Linked DNA regions of Saccharomyces cerevisiae S288C. The gene in region 2 interacts genetically with the main gene of each other region. Each region holds a gene or a part of one and is shown on either strand. Other genes may lie near its edges.

The links.
Region 1: of OMA1 (region 2) and AFG1, extra expression of one rescues a mutant of the other (dosage rescue), as found in Saccharomyces cerevisiae (one study listed by BioGRID).
Region 3: of OMA1 (region 2) and COA2, a mutation in one rescues a mutant of the other (synthetic rescue), as found in Saccharomyces cerevisiae (2 studies listed by BioGRID).

What each region holds. Positions count from the first base shown.
Region 1 is NC_001137.3:54,615-58,650, reverse strand, and holds AFG1 (Afg1p), read right to left. Parts: upstream 2,081-4,036; coding exon 551-2,080; downstream 1-550. Other genes in the region: VMA8 (H(+)-transporting V1 sector ATPase subunit D), read right to left, coding at 1-273; MAK10 (Mak10p), read left to right, coding at 2,549-4,036.
Region 2 is NC_001143.9:602,647-606,245, forward strand, and holds OMA1 (metalloendopeptidase), read right to left. Parts: upstream 1,587-3,599; coding exon 549-1,586; downstream 1-548. Other genes in the region: DEAH-box RNA helicase PRP16, read left to right, coding at 1-426; TVP38 (Tvp38p), read right to left, coding at 1,759-2,772; TGL4 (triacylglycerol lipase), read right to left, coding at 2,987-3,599. UniProt on the Saccharomyces cerevisiae protein: Protease that is part of the quality control system in the inner membrane of mitochondria. Activated in response to various mitochondrial stress, leading to the proteolytic cleavage of target proteins, such as OXA1 and COX1.
Region 3 is NC_001148.4:187,757-190,123, forward strand, and holds COA2 (Coa2p), read right to left. Parts: upstream 758-2,367; coding exon 551-757; downstream 1-550. Other genes in the region: GUP2 (putative O-acyltransferase), read left to right, coding at 1,398-2,367. UniProt on the Saccharomyces cerevisiae protein: Required for efficient assembly of cytochrome c oxidase in the mitochondrial inner membrane. Seems to be involved in the SHY1-mediated step of cytochrome c oxidase maturation.

The DNA.
Region 1 (4,036 bases), on a different chromosome or scaffold from region 2:
TCTTGCAGTAGAGACACTTTCTTGCACTTGATAGCCAATGTTTTCACCTGTTGCATAGGAAACTTCGGCCAAGGAAAAGGCAGCAGTTTGCATAACTCTCCCCATCTTTTGCTTAGCATCATCAATTCTTTTGGTAATATCTCTGAATCTCTTTGTTAGGGCTTCAGACTTACGCTTTAGTAAAGAATAACCTTGGTTGGCACCTTTTAACTTGGTCTTCATCAAACCCAGCGTCATACGCGTAGGAAAGACTTGCTCTCTATTACCAGACATTTTTGAACCTTTTTCACAATGCTGTTAGGAACCTATGTACTACAGATGCTGATTTATTCTACTGCTGCTTCATCTAACCTTTATCTGTACTGCCATTGTCTTTTAACAATCCCCGTTCCTAATCAAATTTGCATTCGGGTAACAAAAAATCAGGTGAGTAATATCAGTAATAAAAAGCACTATTGTTAAAGGTGTAACTGCGGCAATTGTTAGACGATCAAAGTTCGTGTTTAGAATAAATACAAGAATATAAATAAACACTTTTGTTACATAGGGTTTAGTATGTAGGCTTAGTAACCCAATCGGTGGAGCTCATCTGTGACAGCCTGCTTAAGGCACGGGCAAAGGCAAATCTTTCTTCATCAAGAGCAAACATCTGCGATTTCTTGGCAATCTCTTTCGAAAAACCGTGTTTCTCAACCATCTCATCTACCATACCAGTATCGACGCTATCAGGTTCTTTGGTTGTTGGGCGTAACTCAAAATCATTAAGTATCTGTTCAGGTTCCACAAACAAGGAAGAAAAATCCGCTGCACCCGTAGTGGCCAGTTTCCCGCCACTGTCATATACAGCATCTAAAAATGTAATAAATCTTCTCACTTCATCACGAACGTAAATGGACAAATATGGAATATCGGTCACTATAAAGGCTTCAAAATTTTTTGCCAACGTCAAGTAATCTCCTGCGGCCAAAGGCTCACCACACAACTGCTTGAAAGTAAACTGCGCGACTCGAGGTGGGGTACACTTAGGGACTTTGAACTCTCTCCCCCAAATAGTTAATGGATAATCATAAAATGTCTTATGCACCGTGTGTGAATCAGTGGAATCATCGGTGTGGGAAGCCTGTGCGAAATAGTTATACCATTCCTTAATATGAGTTTCTCGACGGGTTTTACATTCCTTTGATGCGTATTTTATGCTCGTATCGGATGGGAAATAGTAAACTGAGGACACAGGTCTTGGAATCTTACGGTAATCTGTTGGCGAATTCAAGAAGATAACCTTAGTTCTATGCTTTATCAGTTCAATACAAGGAATAAATGATTGTCTTTGAACACCGTTGATATACAACTCATCTGGATGTCTATTCGAGGTTGCGAAAAGTACGACACCATAATCATCGGATAGTAAGGCAGTCATCAGCCTTCTCAATATCATTGCATCTGCCACGTCAGTGACTTGAAACTCGTCAAAACAAAGAACATGCGAATTATTTGCAATCTCTGCGGCCAAAAATGGAACCGTATCGATCTCTTTTCCTTTTGCATCACCTAGTTCTTTCAAATTTTGCTCTCTAACAATTTCATGCGACCTTTTGTGAACATATTGCATAAACTGGTGAAAATGTATTCTCTTTTTTGTTAAATGATTGGGAATTGTAGTATAAAAAAGGTCCATCAACATTGTCTTTCCGCAGCCAACATCTCCATATAGGTAAACTCCTCGAGGTATCGAGTTACCAATTTTGGATACATCCACATACGCCCCAATGTTCTTAGGTTTGCCACGGCTAAATACGGATTTAAGACCATTCAACCAACCGCCAACTTGGTCGACAGCATTGGGTGTCTTGACAACCGGAGGTACATATTTAACCAGTGAATCATACAAATCCCCTAAGGAAGAGATGATACCACGCTGATATGTATCATCCCGTAGCTTCCCCAACTTCACCAGTCTGTCGTACTCTTGCAAGGGCGTCAGACACTTATTTGACTTCGTAGATTGATACCGACAAATGCGAAAGCTGCAATGCTGCACTTGTCGGAAGGTTCGAACAGCATTGGGCTTCAAAGCGATCATGATTTTAACCAGCAAATACTATGTTTCACTGCTTTACCTATTTATTCTTTGTTCTTTCGGAGCACCCGCAAATCAGAAGAAAGGAACTTCTCCCTCCCACTTTAAAGTAAATCCGGAGATTCCCGTTATTACCTTACATATCGAAATATGACCCATAAAAGATGTGTAAAATTACGTAAGACAAAGGAACTCGGCACACCTATTGAATAGGTAATAGTGGAATCAGGTGCCTAAATAAATGAATAAGAGTACTGTATTATCTAGTAGTTGTTATATTATCTAACCTTTACATAATACGATTATTTCACATTGTTATGTTTTCGGGTAATAATTATGAGATGGAGTGAAATTTCACGAAGAGATACAAGTAAAATAGCAGCTCTTCAATAGCAAGAAGAGTGGCGCTGAGATTGAAAACAACTGTGCTAGTGTAGAGCAACTTTGATAATAGCTGGTACGTTTCCGAGAATGGAAGTAGACAGTATATTAGGTTCCTTGAGCATAACTGATGATTTTGACCAATTGGTTGACGTCACAAGTCTGTTTGATGAATTGTGTTCAAAACTAAAACCAGAGGCTATCGTGAAAGATCCCAGGTTTGATTTGTTCGAGGGTACACATTCTTTAGAGGTCAACAACTCCAAATTAGACTCCAGTCTGATAGAATTGACAGCAGAAGAAATAGAATTTGATGTGAACGTGGCCTACGATCCACCGTTGGCAAGTGTAGCAGCCATAGCGGATAGATTACTTAGATGTGTTATCTCCTGGCTGAATGACTACCAGACTTTACCCACTACTGTATTAAGCTGCAGGTATACAGAAAGCTTATTATCGTCATTAGTTAAGGGAACAACTGCCGGTTCGTCCTGGTGTACAGGGAATATTTTGTATGATAAAGTACTAGGAAGTTGCATACTTGGCGTTTGTTATTTAACAAAATTTGTGCAGAAACTCTTGAGTGCTGGTATTGTTTTTGAAGAGGAGGATTTAAATTTTAATAACATGGGGTTTAATACATTCGATAATTTGCCGGGGCAAGATGTTGTTATCAATTCTCTCACCGAGAGCCTTCAGATATTAGAGGCATATTCTGATGATAGCTTACATTTAACTATGCTGAAGCATATACTAAAAATTATCATTTGCTTAGTCCACTTAGAAGACCATCTGACAGACTATTCCACAAAGACAAGCCACCTGGATGAGCTAATTGAAAACGCTAACTCGGTTAATGGCATATTTCCACAATTACAGCTGTCTCCACCAAAGGGTGCGTTCTCAACATATATACAAAAGCACAGGTCTAATCAATTCCCTCCCAGGAAGATTACGAAGTTACCGACGGATTACAGCGGCTTTATTACACTGGCAAATGATGTTAAAACAATACTCCTTGTAGATAAAGCCGAGTCTGCGTTGGAGACCTACCAGTTTGCCAAATTCTTCAACAAGTTGGAACAAAGGCATGTCATTGCAAGGATCTTATTCCCCTTATTTTTCATTAGAGACGACAGAACAGTTTTGGGTAAATTTTCATATACCCAATTTTATTTGCTACATGTCAAGGAGTTTTCAGCACAAACTCCATCTGAATTTGAATCCTCTATTGGTAATGAACTTATCCAAGAAAGCTCTAATATGCTTTTAGAATGGTACCAAAACTGCTCCCAAAACACATGTAGATATAGACAAGGTTTTAACAGGCAACTTATTCTATGGGATTCTCTTCAAGCCCAGTTTGAAAGTGTCAATTCACAAGTTTACTGTTCGTGGACATATTTTATGAAACTATCAAGTATGATCGAATTCTCTTTAAAGGGGTTTGATTTGGATATTTACAAACCCTTTGAAGCATACTCTATGTTTTGGTATGTTTATTATTTAAGTCACCACTTAGAAACCTTTTTGAAAGATAGTCAAAATGATATTGAATCAAATATTAATGCCATTCAT
Region 2 (3,599 bases):
GTAAGTGTTCAACTACACCCTACAAGTGCATTACACGGATTGGGGGATTTACCCCCTTACGTGGTATATCATGAATTATTAATGACTAGCAAAGAATACATTTGTTGTGTTACTTCTGTAGATCCATTCTGGTTAATGGAATATGGTGGGTTACTCTACGACATCAAGCGTATTAAAAATGATCAGGAGGCCACAACTACAGGCCTCTTTGGTGAACACTATGAACATACTCTGGACAAGGTTGAAGATGATATTGATATCAATATTAGGAGATGTAAGGATATGAGAGACAGTGTGATACAGGAGCTCAAAATGACCGACAATTCAAACAAAGAAGACAAAAAGCAAAAAACGAAAAAGCAAAATATACTGAACGGCAAAGAAAATTCAATGAAACCTTTCAAAAGAAGGAAGCCTTTTTTTTAGTTTATGGGAAGAGCGTGCTAATAGGCAAAATATTCATATATGTTATTATATAGTTATATGCATGCATAAAACAAAGGGTTATTTATTGGGTACAAAAGAAAAGAGCATAACTCGTGGAGTGCTTACATTGAGAAAAAACTTTTATAATAGTTACCCATACTGCTACAATCAGATTGTTCATAAATTTCATTAGCTTTTGGCAACCATTTCGACATATTCTCTATTCTACGAGTGCTTGCTGGATGTGTACTTAGAAACTCCATATTCACAACACCCCCTCTATTCATTTGCTTTTCAAAATTTGCCATTCTTTCCCACACTTTTATTGACTCCTGTGGTTGAAAACATGCCCTTGACATTATCATCAGGCCAATGTAATCAGCTTCGGTTTCCATCTGTCTTGATGCTGGCATTCGCAAAAACCCATCCAATAGTATATTGTTGATAGCATGAGCTCCAGTAACAGTATATAACACCAAACCCAAAAGAGAATATATAGGAGCCTTCGACAAATTTTCGGCTGTGTGTCTTGCTAGCTGATGAGCAAATTCGTGTGCTAAAACAGTGGCAATCCCATCATCATTAGCACAAATAGGTAAAATAGAGCTGAATATAAAGACCTTACCCCCTGGTAAAACGAATGCATTTGGTGAAGCAGTTGGATCATTGACCACATGAATTTCCCACTTGATTCCGTCCAGTAGTGAGTTGTCTACACTAGGGTCCTTATAAGCAGCTTCGACAATTTTCATGAAAATATTCTCAATTTTGATGGACAGCGGATGCTGTGGAGGTAATATTTCCTGCTGCGTTTGTCTCCAAATTGATTTGTATGTGTAATTTCCGATAGTTAACTCTAATGGACGCGATACCCAGATGAACCTGGACCTATCGCTTACCGGTGCTTTATCCAAATGTGTATAATAAAAGAGAGAGCATCCACCAAATAATAAAGCTAAGTATTTTCTTGATGACTTATCGAGAAGAATGCTTTTAAACGATGATTTTTGGGAATACTCTCCATTATTAAATCGACGATATGAAGGACCATTGTCATAGCGGTAACATCGCGTTAACTGAACACGAAATGATACAGGTTTTAAAAATCCTCCACTGGTCCCTTTTCCAAATCCTTTGAACCTGATGATGTTGCGTAACATTTCTTGTATTTTATCTTTCCATACCTTAACTTAGATTGGTTGATGTCGCTTCGAAAAACTGCTTTTTGTCTTTTAAGTTCTTTATATCGGACGTAGAAAGAAGTAGAAATAGTAATTTGGGTTACCCATATAAAACCAACTTATCTAAACATATATAAACGTATACGGAGGATTAGACCTCAAAAGACAATTCAGGTAGTTGATCAGTGGACACTTGACGGTCGCGGTTTTGTAGTTCTAAATATCTCTTCTTAGTCTTGAAGTATAAGAGCCATGCTGTAAGACTTAGGATTAATAATGTGATAATAATGCTTACCAAGTCAAATACCCTAGATCCTGTAGATTCAGATTCTGCGAGACTCTTTACACGAGAACCTATAAATAGATAGATGAACAGCTTTGGTGTGGTTATTATGTTGGCAATGGAAAAGTTGCGTACCGAGATACCGTAAACACCAGCTATGGCACCATTAGTCAAAGAATATGGGAAGGGACATAATCTCAGTAGAGCTAGAATCCAATAGCTATTGTTTTCTTGTAAAATTGAAGCCAATGCTTCAAATCTTCTATTCAAATGCACAAGCTTTTCTGCTCTTGAATGCAAGATCGTCTTGAACACAACGAAAGAGGCAATGGAACCTGTTACAGATCCCAAAGCTAGCGTAACCCATCCCTCAAAACTGACACCATAGATCAACCCAGTAGTGGTGGATAATAAGGAGTAGCCAATCATAGGAGGAAATGCGACAAAGAATATCAGAACCATTAATATAAAATGTGTTGACATCTTTTCTCTCAAATCGTTCGAAGTAACAACAACTTTATGTAAAATCGCATTATGGAAGACGAGCAACAATATACCCATTATCATTAGCATTATGCCGAGGAGGACAATGATAATCTGTTGCCATAAGCGTAGTGAATAAAAATAAAACTGTAATTTTTGAACATTCTTCCTGATATTATGCATCAATCTCTCTCTAGGGGACATATTATAAATGTCTAAAAAATCATCATCATTAACATTTACTTCGTCATTGAATGACAATCCAGCATTAGTACCAACCCTTTGTCCATTATTACTATTTGGCATGATATCGTTGTCAAAGTCTTCGAAATAGCCATCAAATTCATCATCCTCCCCTTGGCCCATATTGGCATTTCCTGCTTCGTAAGACTGACTCATTTGTGTAACCAATATCTTTCTTCCACCATAATAATATTTTCAAATATGTTGAAGGTATTGTTTTAGTAAAGTGGCTTTTTTTCTTAGTGCAGCTCGAGAGAAAACAATGATTTCGATTTCCGCTTTGAAAATGATATGAATGAGAAAGGCCATTCGAATAAATACATAGATGAAAAAGAATATCTAGAGGATATATAAGCAAGCCCGTGTTTTCTTATTGAGTAAAACTGGTGGTGCTTTTGTGCTGCGTTGAAGAAGAAGGCCTCGATCGAAACGGTGAGCTCTTTGTAGCTTGAGAAGGGGGTCTTCCATCAATGCTATGACGCCTGAAATTGCCCGCTAAATCACTATGAATCATTGCGTCTGAATCGAAGTTACTTATCAGTCTCAATGTAGGATGGTCTTCTTTATCCGAATCTGTGTATAATATGTTGCTACTGCTGACCCATTTTTTGTTCATATGCCTCAAGTATCTACTCTTTCGGCCAAAATGCAATTTCTTGTCTACCATGGCAGGTGTTTCAATGCTGGCAGAATGTGGGATAAGTTCATGGCTTTCCGGGTCATAGGTCTTGGCATCCATAGGAAACATTAGCCGGCCCATACTTGTTTTTTTCTGCAGAATTGGCGGTGGGTGTCCATTGATTTTGCTGGATTGCCTCAACATCCTTGATGTGGGAGAAGCAACTGAAAATGAAAAGGATTTGGCTGGTCGCCTTGAAGTTGAAATAGTATCTGATTTCCTTCTTTGGTGACGCGGATTGAGAGAAGCGGACGTAATGGAATACCGCGGTCTAAACCCGGAAGGTGACCGCCCATATGTGCTT
Region 3 (2,367 bases), on a different chromosome or scaffold from region 2:
ACAGTCCGGGAAAAACGTAAGTCAATTATTATATTTTGACCAAAGAAAATCGCTTGTTGCTGTGCAGAATCTAATAAAGATGCTCAAGATAGCTTTTATTAGACCTTCATTTAGAAGTGGCAAAATCAAATGAATTGTTTTTTGTCCTTTGCTTCTTCCGCTTCATTTTCTCTTCAACAATTCAGGGTTACACTCAATCACGTGGGATACCATAATTTATCGTTCTACAAAAAAATGCAAGCACGAACTAGGGCGGTAGTTAGGAAGCGAATAAGAATAGCGCTTTTTCGTTTCAATTTGGAATATTAAAGAGTGATATTATTAATGGTTTTCTTTTTTGGAATGTGATCTATATACATATTTAAATAGTCTCTTTTGTATTTGTGGTGTCATAATGAAACTGCATCACACCAGATGCTTACCCATACAGAAAGTCGATTGATTATGAAACTTGAAGTAGCGAAGATTACGGCACTCGAAAATAAATAAAAAGAGGAAATAAAAGAGATAGAATACAACTTATCAAAAGTTCCAGATAGCCCGTACCTGTTTAAATCTTTTTACTTAAAGCATCCTTCCTCTTTAACTCCTGCTCATGAGCAAGCTGAAGCTTGTGTTGCTGTACAGCTGGTGAATCAGAATCCACTGAATGTGCTGGACATGGCAGCACAGAACCGATGGCCACTGATGCGAATGCAATGAGAAATGTAGAAAAGTATAGGTTATTGACTATTTTGTTTCTAGTGACTGCTCTCATGATATGTGTCTGAATTAAACTAATTGGCCTTCCGTGCCTGTAAATTCAATAAATAAATAGGATGTTAAATTTTCCTAATGTGTCTCGAGGTGCTTATGTTATCGTGCAAGCGCTGAGTTCGAAACGCTGTTTTGATGAATATCCTATATATATCAAAAGTACAAACACGGGGAAAGAGAGCCATCCCATCAAAAAAAATAAAAAAAGAAAACCCTTGCAGAAGGAGAACTGGTGTAGAGGTTTCCGGTCTTAATGGACTTAAGCACGTGACTTTTAAAACCCATGCATCGGTTACTATGGTTACCATTACTTACGATTTTTTTTTTTTCGTTATGAACCCTGTGCCCGAGGGGTTTTCAGGCACATAGATCAAAGTTCTACTCGTTTACCTGTAATCTTGGCGCGTTTAGGTCTCTTTTTTTTTCTTTTTTTTTTCTTCTTTTTTCATTTGTACTGCGTTATAGTTGTTTATGGAAGGTACCAATGGTGAATATGGAAAAAATGAAGTCAAATAGAAGAAGAAAGAGAAGCTAGCTTTGAGGTAGGTACTGTTTTGAGGGTTTTTGGGTGCTTCAAATTTGTCTTCTCAACTACCTTATTATAGGGCTCAAAAATAATTGACGTCATCGCTACAAGTCAGATGTCGATGTTAAGAATCTGGAGTTGCATCGTACATTTCTTTTCCGTGCAGGCACTTGATTCACGAATAAAGCCAGACATTGAATTCAAAAGGCGACAAAGGATATTTATCAATTCATCTAAAGAAGAGAATGGTTCATCTTCTAGTGCCGTTACTGTTACCCGTAACCCTGTGCTCAGCTCTAATAGCCCATCTCCTCCGCTATGGAATACATGGGAATTTAGACTATATTATTTGGCGTTCACCGTAGTAGTTCCTTTCATGATAAAGGCGGCATTGGCTACGAGCTCCGAGTCTAATCCAAACTACTATAAATTCAGCGGACTGCTAGCCCATGGTTGGATTCTGGGCCGCAAAGTGGATAACAGCGATCCTCAGTATAGGTTTTTTAGATCCAATTTTTTTTTGTTGGCCATCTTAATATTACTACAAATTATATTAAAAAAGGTTTTTGTTAAATTTAGTAAAATTCCGAAAACAAAATTCGATTTTGCGTGTGGATTAGTTTTTGTCTGTTTCATGTACGGGATCAATTCTGTTAAGCTCTTTACGCATGCTTTTATTTTCTTCACTTTGGCACATTCGCTAAAGAGAAAGCGTTTGATAGCCGCTTTTGCGATTTGGTCCTATGGTATCTTTACACTATTCATCAATCAAAAAATGAAAAATCTCCCCTTTAATAATATTGCTATCATCCTAAGTCCCATGGATCAATGGTATAAGGGTATCGTTCCTCGATGGGATTTTTTTTTCAATTTTACATTATTGCGTTTGTTAAGTTACTCCATGGATTTTTTGGAAAGATGGCATGAACAATTGAGCCGCCAACCTTCGATAGATTACGATGATAGACGACCTGAATTCAGAAAAAGTTTATCTGGTTCTACTCTACAAACCATTTATGAGTCAGGTAAGAATGTTCTGGAGGAAAAGGAACGACTGGTAGCAGAACATCACATCCAGGATTACA